Macaca fascicularis: one gene and its partners. The protein of the gene in region 5 interacts with the protein of the main gene of each other region in a pairwise test. Links are inferred from orthologs where the notes say so. Each region holds a gene or a part of one and is shown on either strand. Other genes may lie near its edges.

Region 1 (3,500 bases), about 93 Mb from region 5:
ATCACGGCACTGCACTGCAGTCTGGGTGACAGAGTGAGACTCTGTCTCAAAAGAAAAAAAAAAAAAAAAAAATCCTGGTACTAGTTAGGGAGAAGAAAGAGTCATTTGCAAGTTGGACAACTGGGTGGCTAGACAGTGATACCTATTCTGTGGGCTAGAACCAGGGCTGGGAAAGCTGCCTTAGAGAGCATGCCTGCTTCCTGGACCTGTCATTGCTTGGTAAAGGATGCACTAGGCCAGGCATCCAGAAGCCCACAGGCAGCAAGTGAACCACCCACATCTCACCACACGAAAGGCAGGTAAAAGGGACTGACCACTTCCCAGAGCCCTGGGGAGAGAAGAGGGTTGCCATGAACAAAGATGACAGGTACCTTATACACGGTGGTTTTATTTTCAATGGCATCTGCTATTTTCGTCATCGGAGAATGGAGCAACTTGATCTCCATTTCAAGTGGGTCCGTGTCACCCAACAGCTCATCAGATTCTCCAGCGGCCAAGCCTTTAACACAACCAACACCACTGTCAGGGCCCTGGCTACCCTCTGTAGCCAGCCCCCCTGGTCAGGCCTCAGTGAAAAGGATACACAGATGCTTCCCAGGGAAGTTAGGTGCAGGAACGTTTCACTCCTGCTGAGAGGCCACATGACTAAGAATTAAACGCATGGGTTTTGCAGTAGGACATTCACTTGCTGGGAGCTGGACTCAGAGCTTCAGCTTTCTCATTTGGAAAATGGGAATTCCACAAGCCCTCTTCACACTGGGCTGCTGTGAGACATGGCAGATGTCTGTAATGCTCTGGCCCAAGATGCTGCTCTGTAAATGGCAGGCACTGGGATTCCCTCCCCAGGACCAGACTTTCTCCTCCTCTCTCTGGTCCCTTGCCTGGAGCTGGCCTCTACTGCAACCCTCAGATGTGCCCACTGCCCTGTGCCCCACTACCCTTATGCCTGCTTGTATAATTTTGCCCCTATTCCCTACACTTGGCCTTCTAATCCCTACTCACCCTTCAAGATCCAGCACTAGGGCCACCTCCTCCAGAAAATGCTCACCACTAACCTGTTCCTCACTGTCTTCTCAATTTCTCAGACCTCAATCTTTTGCCAAAATGCATTCTCAGTGATGGAGCACCTCTTGCCCTCACATCCAGCCAGGGTCAAGCATCATCATAAGAACATAAGCTCAAACCCTTCTCAACTGCCCTACTTAACAGGGGAGGAAACTAAGGCCAGGTGCAGTGGCTCATGCCTGTAATCCCAGCACTTTGGGAGGCCAAGGCAGGTGGATTGCTTGAAGCCAGGAGTTCGAGACCAGCCTGGCCAACGTGGCAAAACCCCATCTCTACTAAAAATAAAAAAATTAGCCAGGCATGGTGGTGCACACCTCTAGTCCCAGCTACTCAGGCGGCTGAGGCACAAGAATCACTTGGCCCCAGGAGGCAGAGATTGCAGTAAGCCCAGATCATACCACTGCACTCCAGCCTGGGCAACAAAGCAAGACTCTGCCTCAAAAAAAAAAAAAAAAAGAAGAAGAAGAAGAAGAAGAAGAAGAAGAAACAAATTCAGACAGGGGGATGACCTGCCCAAAGCCACATGGGAAAACTAGAAAGCAGGCAAGTCCTCTTAACCTCGTGTGTAATACAAGGACACTAAAAGACCCAGAGAAGGAAAACTACTGGACCTCAAGAGAAAAAAATAGAGTATCTAGAAGCCAGGCTAGCCAAAGCTTCCTCAACTACCCCATAATGTCTACAGACAAGCCCAGAGGGCACTGGATACCTTCCTTAGGCAGTGTAGAGAATGAAGCAGGGAGCCACAAGCCAGGGCTGCAGAGAGTAGTATCTGAGGAGAGCAAACATTCTCAGGAGTTTCTGAGAGTCACATCTCCGCTCCCCAGCAAATAAGCATCTTAATAAAAACTAACATTTACTGAGCATCTATTTACTAAATGCCAGGCACTGTTGTTCTAAATGTCTTTTACATATTAAATAAATCCTCATAACTACCTTATCGGGTGGACTTATTGTCTCCATTTTACAGATAACATCATTGAGACAAAGAAGTGAAGTAATTTGTTTAGCATCACACAGTAAAAAGGAAACAAAGCTCGGATTTGAATCCAGGCAGTCTATACTTTTGGACACCCAGCTCCTCTGAGCTGGAAGAGTCTTCAACAGGGCAGGAGAACCAGGTCAAAGGCACCTCTGCTGATATCCTTTGGCAAATATCAGCTTTCTGTGACTTGGGTACCTTATTCACCAATGGGAGTAAGAAGGAAAATCTAGAAATGGACCTGAAATGGTTGTGAAAAAGCCTAAGGCAACATTAGAGAGTTTTTGAGAGAACATCTCAGTCCATTCCGGGTCCCAAGAGACAGGAATGGAGCCTCACATTTCCAGAGCACCTCAGTGGGCACCAGGTACCTTCTTTCGTATTTACCAAAAGCTCGCAACCACCCTCCCCCCACCCCCCACCCTCCCTGCCAGGGCCAGATTAGAATTCCCCACCTTGCAGGAAAAGAAATTAGGCCTCGAGCTGCTTAAGCAACTTGCCCAAAGCCCAAGTAGGGCCAAGGAAGCGGGAGGTCAAACATGGGATTTGCTGTCAGGTCTGCGTGGCCCCACTAGTGCAAGACCAAGTGGACCCACCCTGCCCACACTTACATTCCATGGTGTCTTCATTGGCCTGCTCAGTATCCTCGATATCAAAGACCTCGGTCATTTCCTTAACAATCTCAGCACTGAGATGGGTGGGCAGAGTGTGAGTGGGTGGTGGTGGTATATAGAAGCTAATCTTCCCGCTGCATTGGGAAATAGGGGAGATTAGTGGTGCTGTCACTGAGAGAACCAATGACAATCCAAGAGACGATGAGTTTGTAGGCCAGAAACAGCAAGGGAACAAGAAAACCCAGACAGTGGCTTCTGAACAAGAAGGAGTTGAGTTGCTGGATAATCACTGGGCATAAAGTCTTGAGCAGGACATGACCTGGCACCTTGGCCATCCTCTGCCCCAAGACCCAGGAAGTCAAGCTGCCCCAACGGCAATGAGCACAGATGAGCCTTTGTGGAGCCAGGCTCCCAGTGGGCCTCACCCTTACCCCTAACCTCCTCCTCACCTCACCCAGTCAGCTAGGACAGCTTTGGCCGCCTGTTCCTGACTGTATAAGCCTCCCTTCTTCTTCTTCCCCAAACGGTGGGCCACTGCCGTAAGAAAGTGCTCAGTGGTCTGGAACCCAGAGACGCCATAATAGTTGGAAATCTGGTGACGGGAGGAAGGAGAGAAGTCATGAGGAAGAATGAAGGGCCCTTGGAGTAGGGCAGGGCATCGGCCAGGGCTCTGCTGCAGACCTCCTCCAGGTTGCAGCGCTGCAGGATGGTCTCCACTGGGGTCACAGGGTCTGCCAGCTTCTGCACGTGGACGCAGTTACGCAAGATGGTGCCCACCTCTGAGTTGGGCCCTGGGACAATGCCTGGAGCATCCAGCAGCCGGATGAACTTGTCCAGGT
Region 2 (3,944 bases), on a different chromosome or scaffold from region 5:
CTCAGCTCCTGTCCTGCTTCAGCATCAATTCCGAAAAGGAGCCATTTCTTTCTTCAGGAACACGCTTCTACAGAACTCAGGGTAACAAGTGAAAACTAATCTTGTGTGCTTATCTCAAGGACTGTGCAAGCTTATCCAGGGTTTCAGGCGACAGCTGTTGGCATGAAGCCCTCTTGAATAAATAGGTGGAGGCCCAGGCTGTCCCTCCCTCCCAACCTCCCAGAGAGCTCCAGCCTCCTCCCTACACAACCAGCGAACTCACCTCTGGGTAAAGGACCCAACTTGCTACAGTTGGCCAACTATCTGGCTGTATGGCCCCATGAGTCATCAGGCATCGTGGCTTACACCTAGCAGGGCGAGCAGTTCCCACTCTGGGTACCCATCTTCAGTCCTGGACTGCCCTCCTCCCCAGATCTCACAAGGAATGTTATGACCAGTTTGGGATGGGTGGGTGGCGCCTCACTCGGCTAATTTGCCAGAAAAAGAATCCACACAAGTACTTTCCCTACAAAATAATTTATTCCAACACACAGCAACAGCAGAGACTCTATGTACAAGCACACTGACGCTCCTGACTACCCTCAACTAGGGGACCCTTTTCTTCCCCCTTGCCTTGCGGACCTCTTCTATCAAATCTTTCAGGTACTGGATCTCCTTGGCCAGGGAATCCGCCCTCTCTTTTAAAGCCTCATTCTTCTTTTCCAGCTCTTTGCACTCGCCAGTGAGGGCCTCCTGCTCCGCCCTCTTCTTCTGGCGGTACCTAGTGGCTGCTGTCTTGTTTTGCTCCATTTTTTTCAGCTTCTTATCCAGTTTCTCACCCTTTACTTTTGCTTCTACCATCTTCTCTCCAGGAGGGTCGTAAGGTTTGGGGCGGGCAGAGCCACAGAGAACACCTGGAGATGGGAGGCTCCTATTTGGAGAGCCCCTGGTAGACGGGCTATGCTGAGGAGAGCCCAGATAGGACTCCGGGCTCATACAGATGCCACTATCATTATCTGAGGGGGTGTCTTCCTCCTTTATGCACGGAGGGATCATGGCAACATAAGCAGTGGCATCTGGCTTCCTATCTCCTTCAGTGATATCCACTTCACTGCCCAGCTCTAAACTAAAGGAATGATCTGGAGTGGAGGACAGGACCCCTGGGGAAAGGGGAAGAGGTTGCAAGAAGGTGAAGGGGGCAACCTGGTCGGGTTTTGTTAAACTTTCTGGGAGATGGCCAATTGGGTTCACCGTCTGGGGGGGCTCCTTGTTAGTCTCCTGGACTAGGGGGGCAAAGAGATCACACGTGTCATCCAACGTGGTCAAAAGGTCATCTGGCATGGTTTCCAGGTCATCTATACCCAACAGGGCATCAAAGTCGAACTCCTTCAAATCCATTTTCTCCAACATCCAATCTGTCCCGGAGAAGGCATCCTCTGCAAAAGATTTGAATGACAGGGCCAAGTGAGTCAGATACAAAGATAACAGGCCCCTAACCCTAGATCCCACCCAGACGATGTGGTGGTGGCCCACTCACCCTTGCCGTTGTTGGAGGGACTGACCAACCCATCCACAGCCAGCCATTCGGAGGAGCCCGCCTTAGCCTTGTCGCTGGAGAACCCATGAGGTTTGAAGTGCTTGGCCACCTCCAGGTAGTCATCTAAGAGACCTAGGCTTTCTTCAGCCCCCAAACCCGACTGGTCGAAGGGGGACATCAAGTCCCCCACCAACACCTCGCTGCTCAGGAAGCTCATTTCGGTCATGTTGCGGTGCTTTGCTGGAATCGAGGAATGTGCTTAATTCGAAGATGTCTTTGTCGGTTACAGCAACGCTGCTGCTGAATGCCGTGAGAAGCCTGAATGGGAATCAGAAGCCAACTCCCATTAGAGGTTAGCTGGTCTGAGAATTTCATCTTTCCACTTACGAGGCGGGACTTCTCTAGTCCAGCCATCTACAGAGTCGGCAACGGGGCAGTTGCATCCGCCCCTCCCTGCTGCGGCTCAGGTTCCACAAAATGGACGCTCACGGAGACCAGGCGATTCTTCCACCGGCCACCAAGAGGAAGGCGCTCCGTCCCCGCGTCCAAATACGGCCAGGGCGGCCGCGCCCCGCCCACCGCCCGCCCTTGACTCACGCCCGCGGCGCCGCCCTGCCGCCGCCATCTTGGTTCTTGCCACGTTTCGCGGGGGGGGAAAGCCGAGACCCCTGGGACCCTTGGGGGATTCGGGGTCCGAGGGCGGCAGGGCCCCTGTGGAAGCAGTCCTGGCACCAGAATGCGCCTTCCCGATCCCGGGCACGCGAGCGTCTCGGGGACACCCAAGCAAAGACCACGCGTCCCGGGCGCTCGTAAAATCGCTTCCTCCTTGGCGGCACCGCCCTGGGCCCCAGGCCGCACCCCACCAACCCAAAACCTGCGCCGGCCCAGGGAGCACAGCTGGACGACCCGCCCTGGTACTCACGCCATGGCTTAAGCCGCTGGGGGGGGGTGCCGCTGCAGAGCCTGGTGCTGCTGCCGCCGCTGCAAAGGCCAATGCTGCCGCAGGCACTGCTGCCCCTAATACGCCATGGTGGCCGTGGACCCTGCGGGCGGGGAGGAGGGAAGGCGCACACGTGCGAACCAAACTACATTTGTGGGCGGACGAAGTAGAAATGGCCGCAACAGCCGCCCGCCGGCCCTTTATAGACTTCGTCTCTAAGGGGACGCAGCACCGACGCATCCTTCCGCCACGGCCACGTGACCATCTCCTCCCGCCCGCTCGTTTCCCTCCCTTTGACGCCCCAACCGTTTATGCCCAGCGCGTAGCTGTGACGAGAAAAGGTGTTTGTTCTTATGACCTCACGAAACGAGAGAGGTGCACTACTTTACTTCTATGATCAGAGTCCGTTCTTTCCTTCGCCGCCGGAGCGCGGAGTGATCTCGCAGACACGCCTCGCTTCCGGTGTCGGCGCGGTGGGCGGGGAGAGGTCGTTTTCCGGCGGAGAGTTTTTATTGTGAAGGCCGAGGACGCCAAGTTATCGCGCGAGGTGCTGGCGAAAAGCGCGCGTCAAGTTGATTGGCCCAGGCACGGTGAGTCATATATACCTCGAGCTCTTATTGGCTCAGGGCCCCAGGTGGGCGGCTGCTGGGAGAGGGATCACGGAGTCCGCGTGGGAAGGGTCGGGGTCTCGGGTCTCTGCCAGGCCTCAGGCCGGCCAGCCTGCTGGCCAGCTACAATCGCACTGGCTTCTGCCCCCAGGAGACCTTAGCCTAGCGCACCCCATAGTGGCCTCAGGGCCCAGCCCCTGCGGTCGGGTCCCGCCGCCCTCAGTGGAGGTCCGCCACTGGCGGCCCCGCCGCCACTCCCAGCCTGCGCGTCCTTCGGTTGCGGGGGCTAATTTCTGGCCTGCGGAAACCGCGGGGTTACCTGTTCCAAGCCTGAGTTTTCCAGAGACGCCATTCATAGCCGACACGGTGTTGCTGCCCCCGGGAGGTTGAAGGGGTCTCGAGAGGGCGCCTCGGGCCTGCCCACCTACACTCAAAGGCCAGCTGAGTCTGCATGGCTCCGTCTAAACTCTGGAAAGGAGCCGGGAAGACGCGCCGTCCTGTCGCCCAACCTGGGTTTTTACAATTCTCATCCGGCTCAAGTGCGAGGCTGCCACAGAATAGCATCATAGGGGAACTTCTGGTGTCCGAAGATTGCGTTCCCCTAAGAACAGAATTTTCTTCGCTGCCATCTACCTGGGGTAGTTTCGATTCACTCCGGGTTCTGAACTCCCCGGCCTAACCCGCTTTTCAGTGGTCATGCCCATGGCCCTGGGAGGAGAGGCGCTTGGGAACCCACGGCCACGTGCTCGGGGTTGTGCGTTGGGAAGGGGGGGTAGTCTGTTTTAATACAGGAAACCTCCGCATCGTCCTCAGCCCCCTCCAGTCAGGCCCTGTGAAGGTAGAAACTGTTTCCGCCTCCATTTCACCGGGCCACACAAGT
Region 3 (3,500 bases), on a different chromosome or scaffold from region 5:
GAAGTGCTAGCTCGGCTTCATTTGCAGCCGCTCCCCTCCCTGGTCTCACATTCCACACATCCTCATGCAGGCTAAAAGCAGAAACAGCCCATCAGCTTCCAGGCACCCAGGACCCTTGGAGCCTGGAGCAGGCCTGCTGGTGGGGATGTGCCTCTCTGATGAGATGGGGCTGGGCTGGGCTCTGTGTAGGGAGGCCACTTAGTCAGGGGCCTGGGACACCCCAAGGGATTCTGGGAACAGGCTGAGGTGCACACCCTCATACGAGGCAGAGTGGAGTGGAGGAAGCAGGGCAGAGATGAGGCCACAGCTGCCTAGCCTCTCCCCAGACAGCAGCTGAGGGAGAGCACGGCGACCTGCCACCCAAGCCGAGGCACAAAGAAAGCCGGGCGCCTCCTCGCTGGGAGCTCTGCGCCAATCCTGTCTTAGTTTTGATGAACAAATCCTGTGAACGTGGAAAACCAGGTACCTACATCTCAGCTCCTGTATGAGAGGCGGAGTCCAGCCCTGTGCTGCCAGCACTGGGGGAAGCCAGAGCTGCCTGGCCAGGCTCTGATCTGTCTTGTCTTTAGGAATCAGGCCAGGTGGCTCACGCCTGTAATCCCAGCACTTTGGGAGGCCGAGGCGGGTAGATCACCTGAAGTAAGGAGTTCGAGACCAGCCTGGCCAAAATGGTGAAACCTTGTCTTTACCAAAAAAAAAAATTAGCCAGGCATGATGGCAGGTGCCTGTAGTCCCAGCTACTCGGGAGGCTGAGGGGGAAGAATCACTTGAACCCAGAAGGTGGAGGCTGCAGTGAGCCAAGATGGCACCACTGCACTCTAGCCTGGGCAACAGAGTGAGACTACGTCTCAAAAAAAGAAAAAAAAAAAGGAATCAGAGCCAGGAGGGAGCAGAGAAGAGGGGAGCCCCGAGACAGGCGGAGGAGCTGGAGCAGGAGCTGGAGTAGGAGCCAGCACCCACAGGCCCCCAGTCTGCGGCTAACCAAATTCAGCTGGGATTGCTGTGGGCCCCACGTGGTTAAGCGGTTAATAAGCAATCCTCCCGGACACCGGCTGGAAGGTGTCCCGCCTTAGGTTTACCTCGGCAAATTGCTCCGTGTACTACCAAGTTTCCCTGATAAGGAGTTCTGCCTATTACTCTCCAGAGAGAACAGAAATTGTTTCTAATCATCATCTCACGCTTGGAATATAACAAGCCTCTTTTTTCAAAGTGAACGCCGATCTATGAGAAACTAGTCCTAAAAATTATTAATGTAAATAGTTTCCCACTTCTTATCCGCATAATAACAGCACACTGAATTTCAGACCTTCATCGACTTTCAAGGCCCGACCACAGGAAGAGGCCCCAAACCCGGGCCTGTCAGACGGGACCTGTGGATGAGTGTTCGCCACGAAGCACCGTGTGTGCGCCAGAGAGGCCCGGGGCTTTCTCTCTCTGTCTTTGCCAGGCTGCTGGGCTGTGTAGTGTTTAGTGCCCGGGGTGCTAATTAAGACGGCCCAGAAATTAGAGAGAGGCCGCCCTCTGAACAAAAAGGAGAAATAGCACCCAATGCCCGCCGCCGGGGGAAGCTTGGTAGAGAAGGGCTCCTGGCCCAGAAGCCTCTGGAGACCACTGAGACCTGACCCCCCGTGCGGCAGGCTTGGGTCTAGGTGCTCCAGATACAAGGGCCCACACTGATTCATTCGGTGCCAAGACCTGCAGCTGAGAATTAAAGGGAACAGTTTACTGCAGGGCGTCCTGCTCCTGGCTTCCAGGGTGCTGCTGGGGGTAGAGATGCAGCTCTGGCCACACAGCTGGCAGTCAGGAAGCTGGGGAGGTGCTCAGTGGCACGGCCAGCATGGAGTCCAGAGACAAGGGAGGGAATGATCCAGTGGCTCCTGCAGCCGAGGCAGCAGCTCTGCTGCTGGAGGACAGAATCAAATCCTACAGCTGTGGTTCCTCAGGCTCGCTTCCTGCCTATAGGGAGGAAGCCACCTTTCTGAGGACACTCTGGCTGCAGATACGGGGCTCCAGCTGGCTGCCCAAATGCCTCAGGTATTTCTGTTGACTCAGAAGTTTTATGTTTCACTGGAAATTAACCAATCATTCACTGGCCTTCTTCATCAGGCTCCTGTGCATTTGGTTACTGGGTGTCAGTGCCCTGAAGCCTTACTGGCTCTGGGTGCCACGATCGTACCCGTCTTGTCTGGATCTGCAGGGCTGCTCATTAGCACCACTGGGCCACAAAAGGTCTTGACTTCTGATCAGACCCTGCCTGTCTTTTTGATCAATTAATACCTCTATTTCCTTCACTTCTTTAAAAAGCATGCTGTACCTCACTAACACGTGGATGCTGTGATCATTTACAGCCTACAAACAGGAAGGAAACCCATTCTCTGGGGCCTGTGCATGGCTGGAAAGCAGTTACGTAACCACCCGCAGTGGGCAAACATCTCGAATCCCTAGGAACAGCTGGGACAAAACAGAAGCCACATCAACCTCCCTCACTGGCCAGGACAAGACGGGTGAGACACTGGACAGCGACAGCACAAGGATGCCCTGCAGCTCCCGTGATCACCACACAGAAGATGCCGCCCGGGGACCGAGGGTGGCTGTGCGTGCCAGCCTGCTGGTGCCCTCCCTGCCTGTAGTCACCTGTCTGAAGAGCAGCTCCTGCTCACTGGGCTGGCGCTGGCCCGGCTCCACCTCCCGAGGGGGCTCTGCCTCTTCGTCATCGCTCTCAATGGGCTCCTGCTTCACCTGCACGCCAGCTGGTGCGTGCGCCTCCTTCTGCGCCGGCAGCCGGTCCAGGTAGGGCTCGTCCAGCAGAGCCTGGTGCTCACGGAGCTCCTCCTCCGTCTCCTCTGGGTGACTCTCCGGCTGCCGGGCCGGCTCGCTTGGTTTCGGGATGATCTGCAAGGCAGAGGAAATACATGAAGCACAGAGAGCTGGGGCCTCTGAGCTCATCAGACAGGAGGAGGGATGCTGCCAACCACCCACCTCTGGGGCAGACAATCAGGGACTCAAGGCATCTTATCGCCCTGCCACAGGCCAGCAGGCGCCTTCATCTTCCCGCACAACAGGCACTTGGGCGCTATCCACGGTGCTGAGAAAATAATGCCCATCAGGACCCCAGCCCGGGGTCAAGGTGACCTGGCCCAGGGAAGGAGGCTGACTAACATTTGGGGTTTACTAAGCACCTCTTCTGCGTCAGGCACTGAGAAACAGAAAAGAAGCCGCAGGTGTCAACCGAGTCTGCAGAGGGGAGCCTGAGTGTGAAGGAGAGGCCAATGCTGACCTCATAGCCACAACTGCTGAGAGAAACAGCCACCACCCACCCAGCGGAAGACATCGACGTCCACAATGCTCACTGCCTGAGCCCACTGACACGCCACGGCCTCCCCTCCTGCAGGGTCCCACCGATGTGCCATGACCTCCCTCCTGCCGGATCCTGGGAACACTCCAGGACCTCCCTTCCTGCTGAATCCTAGGGATGTCATGGCCTCCCTCCTGGAATACTA
Region 4 (3,500 bases), on a different chromosome or scaffold from region 5:
CTCACCTTGACCGTGCGGATGTAATCCAGTGCATTGGGGACCAAGGACTCCAGTTCAGGGAATCTCTTCGAGTACTTATCCCGGATGAACTTATGGATGATGTCTAGGGTAAACGGGACAGGCGGGTGTCAGGTGAGACGGGAGGCAGACTCTGCTGGTTGGCCCTAACACCCACGTCCCCTTCTTCCTTTAGTAACTGAAGCCCTGGCTTGCAGCCTGGCATACGGGCACCAGCATACAGGCTCCATTTTTCAGCCGCCCTTACCGCTAGGTGTGACCAGGGGAATTAGTTCTGGTCTGTAAAATGTGAGCTGCAGTGACATGTTCTTAAAAAAAAGAAGTGCCTTGCTGGTGGGAATGCAGAGGCGACGGCTGGACGTGGGGCAGTCCCCTCGCACCACGAGGCAGGTGGCCGACCAACAAGATGGAAAGGGCTGGGGCCTTACAGGCAGCCAAGCGGCCACGCCGTCCCCGAGTGCTCGCTCAGACTCATACGCGAGGGAGCCACGCCGTCCCCGAGTGCTCGCTCAGACTCATACGTGAAGGAGAACGCACTTCCTTCTTACTTACACCACTCCGTTACAGCAGGTGAACCTCGATCTGAGCTTGGGCTCAGCGGCAGGACCCTGGGAAAGGCCCGTGGGGAAGGGAGGGGGCATGAGGGGCGTCACAGGGGGCTGTCTCCGCCTGCCCCCAGCACTCACTCAGCTCGTTTTCGATCTCCACGGTCAGGTTGTTGGCATCCACGATGACGCGGTATTCAGGCGCTGCCTCCACCGGTCCCATCACTGTGAGGACACGGAGTGGCATGGGTGTGAGGATCTAAATCCCTACCCCTTCTCGGGTCCCACAGCTGGGGGAGACGGAGGATGAGGCTGGGAAGGGTCAGGAAGGAGGGGCTGAAGAGTAAACCAGGGACAGGCTGACGTCTGCCTCCCAGATCCTGCAGCTGGAGGAGGCGGAGGACGAGGCTGGAGGGGGTCAGGAAGGAGGGGTTGAAGAGTAAAGCAGGCGACAGGCTGACATCTGCAGACATCCCTGAACTTGTGTTCCTGCCTCCAATCCCTCTCCCTCCACACCAGTCTAGACTTGACCCTACCTGCCCTGGAACTGACCGTCCGTCTGAAACCTCCTATGGCTCCCCATAGCCCCAAGGCTAATGACCAAGTCCCTAGACTGACATTCAAGGCCTGCCCAACTCCAGAAGCTCTGCAGGGACCAGTGCTGTGCCTGCGTTATCTACACCCACACCCGAGTACTCAGGACAGCACCTGGCACACAGGGAGCTGCCCAGTTCCTCTCTGCTGACTCAGCAACTCTGCGGTCTGGCCTCCCACCCTTCCCACCCCATCCTCTCATCCAGCCATAAAGGACTGGTCACAGTGCCCCAGACACCCACTCCTCCTGGCCTTTTTTTTTTGAGATGGAGTGTCACTCTTGTTGCCCAGGCTAGAGTGTAGTGGCACGATCTCAGCTCACTGCAACCTCCGCCTCCTGGGTTCAAGTGATTCTCCTGCCTCAGCCTCCCAAGTAGTTGGGATTACAGGCGCCCGCCACCATGCCCCGCTAACTTGTTTTGTATTTTTAGTAGAGATGGGGTTTCACCATGTTGGGCAGGCTGATCTCGAACTCCCGACCTCAGGTGATCCACCAGCCTTGGCCACCCAGTGCTGGGACGACAGGCATGAGCCACCATGCAAGGCCCCTCTTGGCCTTTGCATATGCTGTTCCCTCTCCCCAGAGCATCCCTTACCCCATGTCTGTTTCTGGAAAACCCTTCTTTGTGCTTTAGTAATAAGAGGCCAGGCACAGTGGCTCACACCTGTAATCCCAGCACTTTGGGAGGCTGAGGCAGGAGAACTGCTTGAGCCCAGGAGTTCAAGAGCAACCTGGGCAACATAGGGAGACCCCATCTCTACAAATAATTAAAGAAAAAATAATTAGCCAGGCATGGTGGTGTATGCCTGTGGTCCTAACTGCCTGGGAGGCTGAGGCAGGAACACCTGAGCCCAGAAGGTCAAGGCTGCAGTGAGCTGTGATCGTGCCACTGCATTCTGGCCTGGGTGACAGAGTGAGACCCTGTCTCAAAAAACAAACAAAAAGATGTTGTGTTTAAATGTCATACAAATACTAACTGTCTGATGTCACCGCCAGTAGACAGCAGAGCTCAGACCTGACCCCAAGCAGGGTGGCTTCAGAATGTGTTCCTAACCCTGATGCTCAAAAGGCTCTTTAAGTCCTTAAGACTCCAGCAGTGACTCACAGCTGTCTGGAACCCGGCCTGCCTCTTCCACTAGACCTTGAGCACGTTGAGCGCAAAGACCCGGGCAATTCAACTGGGTGCCCAGGTAAACCTTAAAGCAAGTAAGCAGTGAGTCTCCCAAAACTCTGCCCTCCCACTACACTTCTTCCCCCAGAAACCTCCCATGGCTTCCTGTTGTCAACAAATTCCATTCAAGAAGAATGGGAAGGCCGGGCACGGTGGCTCACGCCTGTAATCCCAGCACTTTGGGAGGCCGAGGTGGGCGGATCACTTGAGGTCAGGAGTTCGAGACCAGCCTGGCCAACATGATGAAACCCCGTCTCTACTAAAAAATACAAAATAGCCAGGCGTGGTGGTGCACACCTGTCATCTCAGCTACTCAGGTGGCTGAGGGAGGAGACTCACTTGAACCCGGGAGGCAGAGGTTGCAGTGAGCCAAGATCACATCACTGCACTCCAGCCTGGGCAACAGAGGGAGACTCCGTCTCAAGGAAAACGGAAAAAAAAAAAGAATAGGAATGGTAACAGGACTGCCCTCCTAAGAGTGAGTCTGAGCACTCACGAGATAAGCTAGTATTCTCTCAATTTGGAAGTAAGAAAAGGTTTTAGGTGATTCTTTAATAATTGTATGTCTATTTTTATACGGTGACTTTGTCTTTGCAAATGATACCAGTTTTCCATTCATGGTAGCAATTTGCTTCCTTCTTAGATAAATTTAAGAGAAAAAGTCCCAGACTCAAAGAATATGTTAAGCAAATAATAGGACAAGTGGCTTATAGATGTGGCAAAAACCCTGTAACTGGTCATGTGCATCAGTGAAGTCTGGGAACCCTCAAGCTAAGTCCCAGCATGACCAGGCTCAGCACACAGAAAGGACGTAAGAAGCATGAGCTTCGCAATGCAGTATATGTTTAGTGGAAAAGGGAAGGGGGTGGGGAGAAACAAACAAACAAACAAGAAAGAAGGCTCTGGAAAAGGCTGCGGGGGAGATACACCCAGCCGCAAGCAGCCAGGGAGCCTAGGGGCCTGGCAGGAGACACAGCAGATAGGGAAGGGCACAGAGTGGGAGGAAGCACCTTCTGAAGCTTTGGCTTGCTTGCTGATATACTCCTCAATCTTCATCATAATCTCAGCAAACTGCAGGAAAGGAGGGGAGAGTCAGAATCCAGGACTCTTCCCAAAGAAGCCTGTGTCACCCCCTTCTGGGAGATTCTGTCTAGAGCCCCCTGGCTAGGAA
Region 5 (4,144 bases):
TTTTTTTTTAGAGATGGAGTCTCGCTTGGTAACCAAGGCTGGAGGAGTGCGCTGGCGCTATCTCGGCTCACTGCCACCTCCGCCTCCCGGGTTCAAGCGATTCTCCTGCCTTAGCCTCCTGAGTAGCTGGAACTACAGGCACCTGCCACCACTCCCCGCTAATATTTTGTATTTTTAGTAGAGACAGGGTTTCACCCTGTTAGCCAGGATGATCTCGATCTCCTGACTCGTGATCCGCCCTCCTTGGCCACCCAAAGTGCTAGGATTACAGGCGTGAGCCACCGCGCCCGGCCCTAATTTTTGTTTTAAAGGATTCCTGTGGCTACTCTATGGAGAATATACTATAGGAAGAAAAGAGTGAAAGCTAAGTGATTAGTTGCAGCAGTCTGGGTGAGAAAGGCTGGGGATCAGGGTGGCAGTGGTAGAAATGACAAGTCATGACTGAATTGGCAATATATTTGAAAGCAGAGCCAACAATTCCTGTCGGCTCTAGGATCAGGGATCCGTTTAAAGTAGAAAAACAAAATTATTTAAAAACACAAACATCTTAACAGTTCATTTTTAAGTACAGAATAAAACCCAGTGGCCAAAGGCACTAACAGCAGGACAAGAAATAGAGAATCAAAGATATGTGGGATGCCTGCAATTGATTATTGGATGCTCATTTTGCAAAACTTCTTTATATCCTGCTACTTAGGTTTGTTTTTTTTTGTTTGTTTGTTTTAAGGGAGTATGCCGTATTATTCCCCTACTAAAGAAGTCACTGTTTAAATACTGCCTTTTTCATGAAAGGCAGGAACCCCTGAAGGTCTTCATGATCCTAAAAGGAAGTGTGAGTCCCACAGTGCAGCCAGCAGTGTCAATACTTCTCTGAGTGAGATTTAAACAAGAAAGAAAATGTGTTAATAAAACATCACGCCAAGAGAATCTAGTGGCCACAGACCCACGAAGGAACAACTGAGTTGTGAGAGTTGCCTAGGTAGAAGGGTGGCTAATCCTTTCAGTTTGAACAAATTTGCCTTCTCTGAGACCAAACTCAGCGCTCGCCAGGTCCTCTGCTAACGCAGGCCCCACAACCAGGAGCTAGGGGAGCCTACCCCAGCCTTTAACTGCCCGCCTAGAGACCTACCACAAGCCGGTGGTTCAGCGACCCAGTGCATCCTTTTCCTGGCCACGCCCTCTTTGTCTAAACCCTTCCCATCCCGGCCACGCCCCCACGCAGCCGCGGCCCCCAGTCTGGCCACGCCCCTCCCGCGCCGCGCCGGCGCACCATCCGTCCGAATGGCCTCGTGGGCGGAGCTTGCGTAGCCTCCCGGACCCCGGCGCGCACCGCCCCCCGCCCCCAGCCCCTGGCCATCGAGCGTCTCCGTGGACACGCACTTCCTGCGAGGCCTCCGTGCGCACCTTGGCCGAGCCGAACCGAGCCGAGCCCTGTCCTTCCAGGCTGTTCGCAATGGTGGATGAGCTGGTGCTGCTGCTGCACGCGCTCCTGATGCGGCACCGCGCCCTGACCATCGAGAACAGCCAGCTCATGGAACAGCTGCGGCTGCTGGTGTGCGAGAGGGCCAGCCTGCTGCGCCAGGTACGTCCGCCGAGCTGCCCGGTGCCCTTCCCCGAAACGTTTAATGGCGAGAGCTCCCGGCTCCCCGAGTTTATCGTGCAGACAGCGTCTTACATGCTCGTGAACGAGAACCGATTCTGCAACGACGCCATGAAGGTGGCATTCCTAATCAGTCTCCTCACCGGGGAAGCCGAGGAGTGGGTGGTGCCCTACATCGAGATGGATAGCCCCATCCTAGGTGATTACCGAGCCTTCCTCGATGAGATGAAACAGTGCTTTGGCTGGGATGACGACGAAGACGACGACGACGAGGACGAAGAGGATAATTACTAGGCCCTCGGGCCTCGGGGGGAGGGCCCTGCACGCCGTCACCCCCTCCCCGCAGCCCTCACCCCGCCAGGAGCCACTGCTCTCCCCCTTGCCCTCCGGTCCCCTTCCCTACCCGCGCCCGTCTGCTCTTTCTTCATTTCTCCGTAGTGCTTGTCTTTGTTCCAGGAATAGTGCTCCAGTTACCTGCTGCTGGGGTTGGGGCTGGAGCCTCACTCACTCGGAAGTGCTTGGAAGTGTCATCTACCCTGGCCATCCCGGGGATCCCTCCCCTGCTAATCTGAACTGTGTCCTGAACCCCAGCTATTGGCCAGGCCCCTGTTACAAACTGCGCAGACCACCCATAGCCCTGCTGCTGCCACCTGCCCTGCTGCCAGGCTTACATCTGCCCAGAGAACTATGCTGCCACTTCACATCCACTCACCACATCCCACCTACAGACTACCGCCTTTCGAGATCAGGACCAACCTGGAAAATGCCAGAGTTGGCTCTGCCTCTTCGGACATTGATTTGGACAGCTCACCAACCCCTGAAGAGGCCAATCATTCAGCCTGGTTAGTTTTCTACCTACTCCGAGTGTCCTCCCCTGCCATACCAGATTGCTGCAGGGGCGCGGTGTGCCTGACAGCCAAATTGTTGATATTTCTTTTTTCCTATGCACTGGTTTTACACAGCTGTCATTTTTCTTTCAAAATTGCAGCAGTCCCACAGATGTATGCATTTGGACAAATAGTACTAAAAACAAAACAAACAAGCACTCAGCCCAGCTCCTCAATACTACCTGGAAAAAGCATTGGCATTATTTTCAATAAATATCAAGCACTAAAAAACGAAATGACTGTCTTTTAATAGTTAAGTGCTATCACTGACCTCTAGAACTGTCACTGTGACTACCGTTATTCCCATGGAAATCAGGGAATACAACCAATCCTAGGAATCCCTGCTGTCAACTCCAGGCTGCTGGGGACAGCTACCTCAGGGCTTTGTCAGGGTTCTGATGCTTCCTTCACCAACGCATTTCTTAAAGCCCTGGCAAAGGGTGTGTTCTCTGGGTCCTCCAGGGTGGCATGGGTAAGGGTTGGCTGAGCAGATGGCAAAGAGGGCAGTATTAATAATTAGACCATAACAACAGGCATAAACCAGGACATATATATGTATTGCTCCTAATTCTCTGAGCTTTTGGATTCCTTAATATTGTGCCAGGGAAGTTCTGCCCCTTAATCCTTATTGCCTATATGCAGCTGTTGAGTTCAGGCTCCAGAGAGCCAACATAGTACATTGTCACTTTCAAACTCCAAATAGCCAACATGTCACTTACAGGTGCTCTAGCTAACATTAAGTCCCAGATCCTGGGCAAGTGCATCCATAAAGATATACCCTGATCTTAACAAACATTTCATCCTCCTTGGGCAGACATCCTTAGAATTTCCACTCATAGATGTGTCCCAGATTCCTCCCTATGGAAATTAGCAAGATGCTTGGTTATCTCTTAAATCAGACTTTGTACTGCTATCTGGGGGCTATGCTGAGATCTCTGGGCCTGGAGGGTTCAGAGCAGTGAAGGGGGTGGCTGCTGAGAAGAAACTGCATACCTGTGTGAGGCCATTGCCCCAGGTTAAGTCATTGAAATGTTTAATGCAGAGCAGCTTGGTTGGGGATTTGACAGGACTACCTCTTAGAAAGGTTTAGGAGGATGTGAGGGGTTCAGAGTTCTCATTTATATCTGTCCAGATGTCCTCCCTCATTGTACCATGTCTGGAGCCAACTTCACTTTATAACCTTTAATTAATTTAGATAACACATTTCCTTACTGTTTAAGGCCTTTTGAGGCAAGATATTTCATTTGTACTGGTAAACCTCAGTGTTGATTAAATGAGATATGGGGCTTCATATTAATCACCTGATAGGTGTGGATTATATGAGATCATACCCATGCAGCATTTAGAACTTTCCCTGCTACATGGTGAGCACTCAGTAAACCATGGGCTGTTACTCCTGGGCCTGGGGACAGAATTCTCAGGAAGCAAGTCTCTGGCTCTGAGCGTGGCTTTAGTAGGAAAATGTCAGCGTAAAGAGGAGCAGAGCAGGTTCAGCGATAATGGAAATGAGAGCATGATAAGACCCCATTTACTTTTTGAAGTCTTATATGAAGCAAGAAACAAAGCTGTTTACGTGGTGAACAGGCAAAGTTCAGGGTAGGAATTATATCTCACACCTAGGATAGCTGTTTCTGGAGGGTGGGGACAGGGGTGAGTA
Region 6 (3,983 bases), about 11 Mb from region 5:
TTCTAGACAAAAAGGGCTTAAAATGGTGTTTCTGTATAAAATATATAGTATGATCTAACATGGAAACCCTGACATATAGTGTAAGTCATAGCCAGTTACAAAGTTGGCTTTTTTTTCTTTGAGACAGAGTCTCGCTCTGTTGCCCAGGAAGGAGTGCAGTGGTGTGATCTCAGCTCACTGCAACCTCCACCTCCTGGAAGTGATTCTCTTGCCCCAGCCACTGGAATAGCTAGGATTACAGGCGAGTGCCACCACACCCAACTAATTTTTGTATTTTTAGTAAAGACGGGGTTTCACCATGTTGGCCAGACTGGTCTTGAACTCCTGGCCTCCAGTCATCCACCCGCCTTGGCCTCCCAAAGTGCTGGGATTACAGGTGTGAGTCACCACACCCGGCCTCCAAGTTAAGTTGGCTTTTCCTACGAAGAACACGACAAGCAGAAAAAAATAGACAAAAAAAAACACCCTCCTTGTTATTAAAATAGATGTGTTGTGTGCCCCCAACCCAAGGGAAAAAAAAAGTGTTTTTTTGTAAGGGAAATAAAGAATTGGAATTCTTATAGCATCTGTTGGAGATCCAGCTTAAAATACATATGCATATTTCAGTCAGATAATTAAATAACGCTCTATAGAAATCCAAACTTGGGAAATCATATCATATGAGGACCATGTGTTTCAGTCTTTTTTTTTTTTTTTTTTGAGACGGAGTCTTGCTCTATTGCCCAGACTGGAGTGCAGTGGCTTGATCTTGGCTTACTGCAACCTCCACCTCCTGGGTTCAATAGTAGCTGGGATTATAGGCACACACCACCACACCCAGCTAATTTTTGTATTTTTAGTAGACACAGGGTTTTGCCGTGTTGGCCAGGCTGGTCTTGAACTCCTGACCTCAGGTTATCTCCCTGCCTTAGCCTCCCAAAGTGCTGGGATTACAGGCGTGAGCCACCAGCCGGGCCTGTTTTCGTTGGTTTTATAAATTATACTTATGCAACTTGCGGGTAGTGAGTGTAACTTAGTTTCCAAATCCTTATAGCACTTAATATGATACAGTAACTTATATATGAAACACTAACCATTTGTAATTAATTTGAGAGACCTGAACAAATACATAGAATATTGTCACACCTTTCCATTCCAGGAATGTGCTCTCTACCCTAATTTTGAAGGCAGTTTAGCAATTGTCACCCACCTCATCTTCACTCCCACTCAAGAGGTAGTCTTTTGGCAAATCTACTAGTTCTTCCTGTTGGCTCAAAGCCAGAAGGCTGTTAAAAGAGGCAACAAAGAAATGTGAATGCAATATACCCATGTAACAAACCTGTATATGTATCCCTTAATTATAATAAAAGTTGAAATTTAATAGAGAAATATTGTTATTTGAAGCAATGTCTAATCTATTAAAACAATCTCGTAAACATTGTAACTTCAACACAGAATAGCCCTATCCCTCAGAAGATATATAAAGCAGCATGAACGCCTTTGAAAACTTGTCAAGACGTGAAATTTAGACTGATGTCAGGCATCACCTCCAGGAATGATGCCTGACTCAAAACTGCATGTAAAAGAGCTAACACTTTTCAGTGATTGGCACAACATTTCCTATGACCTATGGGAAGCTGTAAAAATGTCAGACCCTAGAATAATATGGCCAAAGACGCTGTTGCTAGCCCTGGAGGCAAGGCAGTTTCACGATTAATATTTCTAAGCATCCTCCACATGTTTGACTCTTTGATAGGCAGCCTGATCAAAAGGCAGCCTGATCAAAAGTGTCATCTTGGCCGGGCGCGGTGGCTCAAGCCTGTAATCCCAGCACTTTGGGAGGCCGAGACGGGCGGATCACGAGGTCAGGAGATCAAGACCATCCTGGCTAACACGGTGAAACCCCGTCTCTACTAAAAAGTACAAAAAACTAGCCGGGCGAGGTGGCGGCGCCTGTAGTCCCAGCTACTCGGGAGGCTGAGGCAGGAGAATGGCGCAAACCCGGGAGGCGGAGCTTGCAGTGAGCTGAGATCTGGCCACTGCACCCCAGCCTGGGCGACAGAGCGAGACTCCGTCTCAAAAAAAAAAAAAAAAAAAAAAAAAAAAAAAAAAAAGTGTCATCTTGATCACTTGTTCCCAGGAATGGAGAAACAGGTCGAAAGCAGCTGAGTAAGCCATTTTCCCTGGGGCCTGCTTAGCAAAGTAGGTGCTTAACTAGGGAGACTGGTACCCACAAATTACAAAATTTACCGTTACTTAACAGCATATATTATTAGTATTTGCAAAGCCAACATTCCTAAACGGACTACATTTAGTTCCGGGGGCGGGGAGGGGAGGCACAAAACATCATAGGAGCCAAAACGTGGCGATGACTCCAGTCAGCAAAGCTTTCGAAGATTCGGGGAGTTTATAACGCCTGCACTGCCTGCGCAGAGGATTAAATCGGGCCGCGGCAGAGGCAGAAAAAGGGGTCACGTGACGAGGAATGTGAAACATAGTAAATGAGCTGGGGAGGCAGAAACAGCATCAGGACCAACAGGGATGCGGCTATACAGCTGAGGAGCGGAGTAAGTGAATGAAATTAAAAGGGCTTTAAAGGCTGGATCGCGGAAAACAGGAACAAGTGGCCAGCTCTTGAGGGGAACCACTGCCATCTGTTAAAAGGGGGCGCCCATTTCCCAAAAGCTGGGGAACCCGGCCCCCAACGAGACCCAGAATCCCCACTCCCCTCGTTGCCCTTCACCTCTCTGCAAGCCGGTTCGCAGTCATTTCAGCAGCCAGCTTCTCTCACATGGACCAAGAACGGAAGCCGAAGGAAAGCAATTTCCGTGCCGGCCGCAAAGCAATTTCTGTTTCCGTCAATCGCTCGCGACGTACACGTCAGTTCCGTTGCGTACTAGGCGTGTGAGAAGCAGGAGCCGTGTAGGGAGGGGACTGCGTAAAACGGCGAGGCTGGAGATGAAACGGCTGTCAGCGGGTGGGGCTTTCTTTTCTCCACCCACCCCGTATTTCTCTGGTGCGCCGGTGTCTGTCCTCCTGGTCCCTGGTTTCCACGCGGCCCAGGGTGGGTTAGCTTAGGGCGAAGGTACTGCGCTGTCAGGGACTGAGCCCGCGCCTTCATTCGTCCCTACATAATCCAGAAGGAAAGACTCCAGCGCCCGTCCTTGTGCGACAGCGTCCTGCAAGCCGGCCACCAGCCAGCTCGGGGGTTTATTGAATGCCCATTAAGTGGCCAGATTGTGCCGGGCCCCGGAGATCCGATGGTGAACAAAACAAGTTTCCTTCCATTTAAGGAAAAATATCTTTTGATCCCTTGTAATTGCAGCTCTGTTCTTCATTTCCTGAGTCAAAATATTTTATCCAAGAATGGGCCGTCAGTAGCTACGCTTCCTCACCTCCTATCAACTTTAAAAAAATTATTTTAAACAACTTTTTTTCTCCCATCAACTTTTAAGAATTTATTTATTTTTGAGACAGAGCCTTGCTGTGTCGCTCAGGCTGGAGTGCAATGGCGTGATCTCGGCTCACTGCAACCTCTGCCTCCCAGGTTCAAGCGATTCTCCTGCCTAAGCCTCCGGAGTAGCTAGGATTACTGGCGCCTGCCACCATGCTCGGCTAATATTTGCATTTTTAGTAGAGATGGCATTTTGCTATGTTGGCAAGGCTGGTCTGGAACTCCTGGCCTCAAGTGATTCGCCCGCCTCGGCCTCGCAAAGTGCTGGGATGACAGGCGTGAGCCACTGGGCCCTGCCTAATATATGTGTGTGTATATATATATATATGATGATTGTAGAAAAATAATAGACAAGAACATTCTTTTCATTCTTTTAATCCATTCCCATTTTTGCTTTTGCCCCATTATTCCACAGAAATTGCTCTGGACAAGATCAGCGACACCCAAAGTTGCTAAATAAAATGGATACCTCTCAGTCTTTGGGTTCCTAGAACTTTGTGTGGTATTTAATAACTGTCTGTTCCCTCCCTCCCTCCCTCCCTCCCTCCCT
Region 7 (3,500 bases), on a different chromosome or scaffold from region 5:
GGCGGCATTCCAAATTCTTCATCTAAACAAGGCTGAAATGCTAGATTTCCTTCCACTGGGGAGCACTCACATCTCACCTGCGTGGCTTTCCCTCAGGATCTTTCTTGCTTCAAAGTTTTGGAGTGGTAGGACCCATGGCTCTTCTTTCTGCTCCAACTGGGAGATTACACTAGGCCTGGAAATTCTACACAGGAATGTAAACATAGGATGTGAGTCTGAGTCAATCACACAAGGCCTGACCAAAATCGAAGCCCTACTCCCTGCCTAGATATGAGAGAACACCAGGGAAACTCTAACATGTATTTGGTCTCATTAAAAGTACAGCCATGGTACAGTGATAAAACAGGGTGATTTCCCCAAAATACTAAGAAAAAAAAGCTCTTTTCCTCCCATAAAAACAAAGCAAAACAAAACAAAAACAAAACAAACAAAAAAAAAAAACAGACTCAGTTGACAGAAACTCTGAATAAGTAAATACAATAACCATTTCTGAAGGCACAAGGCTAAAGTTAAATATGGAGAGGGTTTGATCAGAAACAAAGCTGCCATGACCTCACCCTTAGAAAGAATAAAGGAAGTTAACTATAATGTTGGGCTTTAAAATTTTCCCAGAACGGCAGCAGTCAAAAAAGCCACGAGAAAAAGATAAACACTTGTTAAGTAGCCTATAAATATATGAAAAATGTTTAACCTCACTATAATCAAAGAAATTCCATTATAACAATGATACACTGAGGCAATATAGTGTAGAGATAATGAGTACAAACTCAGCATTCACACTGCCTGGGTTTGAGTCATAATCCTGCCTCTTACAAGCTGTGTGGCCTTAAGAAAGTTACTTAAACTCTGCGTCTTGATGTCTTCATCAATAAAATAGGGATAAGAGGCCGGGCACGGTGACTCACGCCTGTAATCCCAGAACTTTGGGAGGCCGAGGCAGGCGGATCACGAGGTCAGGAGTTTGAGACCAGCCTGGCCAACATAGTGAAACCCCGTCTCCACTAAAAATAGCCGGGCATGATGGCACAGGCCTGTAGTCCCAGTTACTTGGGAGGCTGAGGCAGGAGAATCGCTTGAACCTGGGAGGCAGAGGTTGTGGTGAACTGAGGTCACACCACTGCACTCCAGCCTGGGCTATAGAGTGAGACTCTATCTCAAAAAAAAAAAAAAAAAAAAAGGGATAACAATAAGATCCATTGGCCAGGTGCAGTAGCTCACACCTATAATCTCAGCACTTTGGGAGGCCAAGGCAGATGGATCACTTGAGGCTAGGAGTTCAAGACCAGCCTGGCCAACATGGAGAAACCCTGTCTCTACTAAAAATACAAAAATTAGCCACATGTGGTGGTGCACACCTGTAATCTCATCTACTTGGGAGGCTGAGGCATGGGAATTGCTTGAGCCTGGGAGGCGGAGGTTGCAGTGAGCTGAGATTGCACCACGGCATTCCAGCCTGGGCGACACAGACTCTATCTCCAAAAAAAAAGACTCAATAAATGTTAACTATCATTGCTATTTTTCCCAGACTCTTTTTTTGTGTTTTGTGTGCATGTTCGTTTTTGAGACAGGCTCTTGCTTTGTCACCCAGGCTGGAGAGCACTGGTACAATCACAGTTCACTGCATCCTCGAGCTCTTGGCTCAAGCGATTCTCTCACCTCAGCCTCCCAAGTAGTTGGGACCACAGGCACAAGCCCCTACACCTGGCTAATGTAACTTTTTGTAGAGACAGGGTCTCATTATGTTGCCCAGGCTGGTCTTGAGCTTCAGAGCTCAAGTGATCCTCCTGCCTCAACCTCCCAAAATGCTGGGATTATAGGCATGAACCACCACACCCAGCCCCAGACTATTTAAATTATTATACCCACTGTGAAAGGTAGAATATAAAGAAATGGATACTTTCATATAATGTTTGTGGGAATAAATCAATTGATTCGATCTTCTTGGAAGGCATTTTGCAAAGTATTAAATACCTTAGAAATGTATCTGTTCTTTGACCTACCAATTCTAGTTCTGAGAATTCTAAGGAAATGATAAAATTATACTTCAATAAAAAAACACTTTTAAAAAATGAGTTAAAAGAGGTTTATCACAACCTGGTGAAAATTTAGAAATGACCTAAATGTCCCACAACAAAGGAATAATTATATAGCTCACTGCAGCCTGGAACTCCTGTGCTCAAGGGATCCTCCTGCCTCAGCCTCCCAAGTAGCTCAGGCAATTGCTATTTTTATAGGTTAAAAAAAGGTCAGATATATGGTTCAATCTAATGTTTGACTTCAACAACAAAATAATATTGTATTCCATAAAACAAAATACTAGGTGGTTATTTTAAGTGATGTAAAGAAAGATGTTTATTGTTGTCAAAATATATTCATGATACAACATGGAAGAAAGAATGTGCAGCTGAATGTACAGTATAATCCCAATATTATCCTTTTGTGCTTGTTTTAAAATCATATACATGCTTAGAAAAATGCTGGTAGGATAGTAACTCTTCAGTGGTGGGATTAGGGATGACGTTTGTTTTCATTTTGATTGTCTTTTGCTTTAATGAGTATACATTACTTGTATAATAGATGAAGTAGGCCAGGTGCAGTGGCTCATGCCTCTAATCCCAGCACTTTGGGAGGCCAAGGCCAGTGGATCACTTGAGGTCAGGAGTTCAAGACCCGCCTGGCCAACATGGTGAAACCTCAACTCTACTAAAAATACAAAAATTAGAGTGCGGTGGCTCTCTCCTGTAATCCCAGCATTTTGGGAGGCCGAAGTGAGCGGATCGCTTGAGGTCAGGAGTTTGAGACCAACCTGGCCCACATGGAGATAACCCATCTCTACTAAAAATACAAAAAAATTATCCAGGAATCGCTTGAACCCAGGAGGCAGAGGTTGCAGTGAGCCGAGATCGCACCACAACACTACAGCCTGGGTGACAGAGTGAGACTCTGCCACAAAAAAAAAAAAAGTAAAGCAGAAGGAAGGGTAGCCAGGATATTTGGGAAAGAGCAATTGGAGGTATTTTGTTTGTTTGTTTGAGACAGAGTCTTGCTCTATTGCCTAGGCTGGAGTGCAATGGTACGGTCTCGGCTGACTGCAACCTCCGCCTCCCAGGTTCAAGCGATTCTCCTGCTCAGTCTCCAGAGTAACTGGGATTACAGGCGCCTGCTACCACACGCAGCTGATTTTTATATTTTTAGTAGAGATGGGGTTTCATCATGTTGGCCAGGCTGGTCTTGAACTCCTGACCTTGTGATCCACCCACCTCGGCCTATCAAAGTGCTGGGATTACAGGTGTGAGCCACTGCACCCAGCCTGTTTTTAAGTGACAGAAAAAATTACCTCCTTTTCCACAAAGACCTCAGAAGTCTCAAAAGTTAAGTGGCAGAGGTGAGAGTTCAACCCAGGCTGGAAAAGGGGGACAGTAATACATATATCAAAAAGTTATGATGAGATATTAAAAAGACAATAAATAGCAAAGATATTTACAAACCATAAAATGCAT

Evidence for each region.
Region 1: the proteins of LDOC1 (region 5) and GNL3L interact in binary tests that used the Homo sapiens proteins (3 or more experiments, as listed by UniProt). The two-hybrid records come from large-scale screens. The link is inferred for Macaca fascicularis from reciprocal best matches to the Homo sapiens genes LDOC1 and GNL3L.
Region 2: the proteins of LDOC1 (region 5) and ATF4 interact in binary tests that used the Homo sapiens proteins (3 or more experiments, as listed by UniProt). The link is inferred for Macaca fascicularis from reciprocal best matches to the Homo sapiens genes LDOC1 and ATF4.
Region 3: the proteins of LDOC1 (region 5) and HDAC4 interact in binary tests that used the Homo sapiens proteins (3 or more experiments, as listed by UniProt). The two-hybrid records come from large-scale screens. The link is inferred for Macaca fascicularis from reciprocal best matches to the Homo sapiens genes LDOC1 and HDAC4.
Region 4: the proteins of LDOC1 (region 5) and PRPF31 interact in binary tests that used the Homo sapiens proteins (3 or more experiments, as listed by UniProt). The two-hybrid records come from large-scale screens. The link is inferred for Macaca fascicularis from reciprocal best matches to the Homo sapiens genes LDOC1 and PRPF31.
Region 6: the proteins of LDOC1 (region 5) and UTP14A interact in binary tests that used the Homo sapiens proteins (3 or more experiments, as listed by UniProt). The two-hybrid records come from large-scale screens. The link is inferred for Macaca fascicularis from reciprocal best matches to the Homo sapiens genes LDOC1 and UTP14A.
Region 7: the proteins of LDOC1 (region 5) and ZNF774 interact in binary tests that used the Homo sapiens proteins (3 or more experiments, as listed by UniProt). The two-hybrid records come from large-scale screens. The link is inferred for Macaca fascicularis from reciprocal best matches to the Homo sapiens genes LDOC1 and ZNF774.

Annotation. Positions count from the first base shown.
Region 1 is NC_088395.1:54,542,337-54,545,836, reverse strand, and holds part of GNL3L (guanine nucleotide-binding protein-like 3-like protein), read right to left. Parts: coding exon 3,343-3,500; intron 3,254-3,342; coding exon 3,111-3,253; intron 2,796-3,110; coding exon 2,659-2,795; intron 500-2,658; coding exon 372-499; intron 1-371.
Region 2 is NC_088384.1:12,124,644-12,128,587, forward strand, and holds ATF4 (cyclic AMP-dependent transcription factor ATF-4), read right to left. Parts: upstream 2,632-3,944; 5' UTR 2,439-2,631; intron 1,835-2,438; 5' UTR 1,743-1,834; coding exon 1,517-1,742; intron 1,416-1,516; coding exon 586-1,415; 3' UTR 501-585; downstream 1-500. UniProt on the Homo sapiens protein: Transcription factor that binds the cAMP response element (CRE) (consensus: 5'-GTGACGT[AC][AG]-3') and displays two biological functions, as regulator of metabolic and redox processes under normal cellular conditions, and as master transcription factor during integrated stress response (ISR).
Region 3 is NC_088386.1:135,022,447-135,025,946, forward strand, and holds part of HDAC4 (histone deacetylase 4), read right to left. Parts: intron 2,893-3,500; coding exon 2,635-2,892; intron 1-2,634. UniProt on the Homo sapiens protein: Responsible for the deacetylation of lysine residues on the N-terminal part of the core histones (H2A, H2B, H3 and H4).
Region 4 is NC_088393.1:61,920,153-61,923,652, reverse strand, and holds part of PRPF31 (U4/U6 small nuclear ribonucleoprotein Prp31), read right to left. Parts: intron 3,401-3,500; coding exon 3,340-3,400; intron 789-3,339; coding exon 705-788; intron 104-704; coding exon 6-103; exon of another isoform or gene 1-5. UniProt on the Homo sapiens protein: Involved in pre-mRNA splicing as component of the spliceosome. Required for the assembly of the U4/U5/U6 tri-snRNP complex, one of the building blocks of the spliceosome.
Region 5 is NC_088395.1:147,495,032-147,499,175, forward strand, and holds the start of LDOC1 (protein LDOC1), read left to right. Parts: upstream 1-1,344; 5' UTR 1,345-1,453; coding exon 1,454-1,894; 3' UTR 1,895-4,144. UniProt on the Homo sapiens protein: May have an important role in the development and/or progression of some cancers.
Region 6 is NC_088395.1:136,173,568-136,177,550, reverse strand, and holds the start of UTP14A (U3 small nucleolar RNA-associated protein 14 homolog A), read right to left. Parts: upstream 2,801-3,983; 5' UTR 2,749-2,800; coding exon 2,723-2,748; intron 1,266-2,722; coding exon 1,190-1,265; intron 1-1,189. UniProt on the Homo sapiens protein: May be required for ribosome biogenesis.
Region 7 is NC_088381.1:74,891,079-74,894,578, reverse strand, and holds part of ZNF774 (zinc finger protein 774), read right to left. Parts: intron 185-3,500; coding exon 78-184; intron 1-77.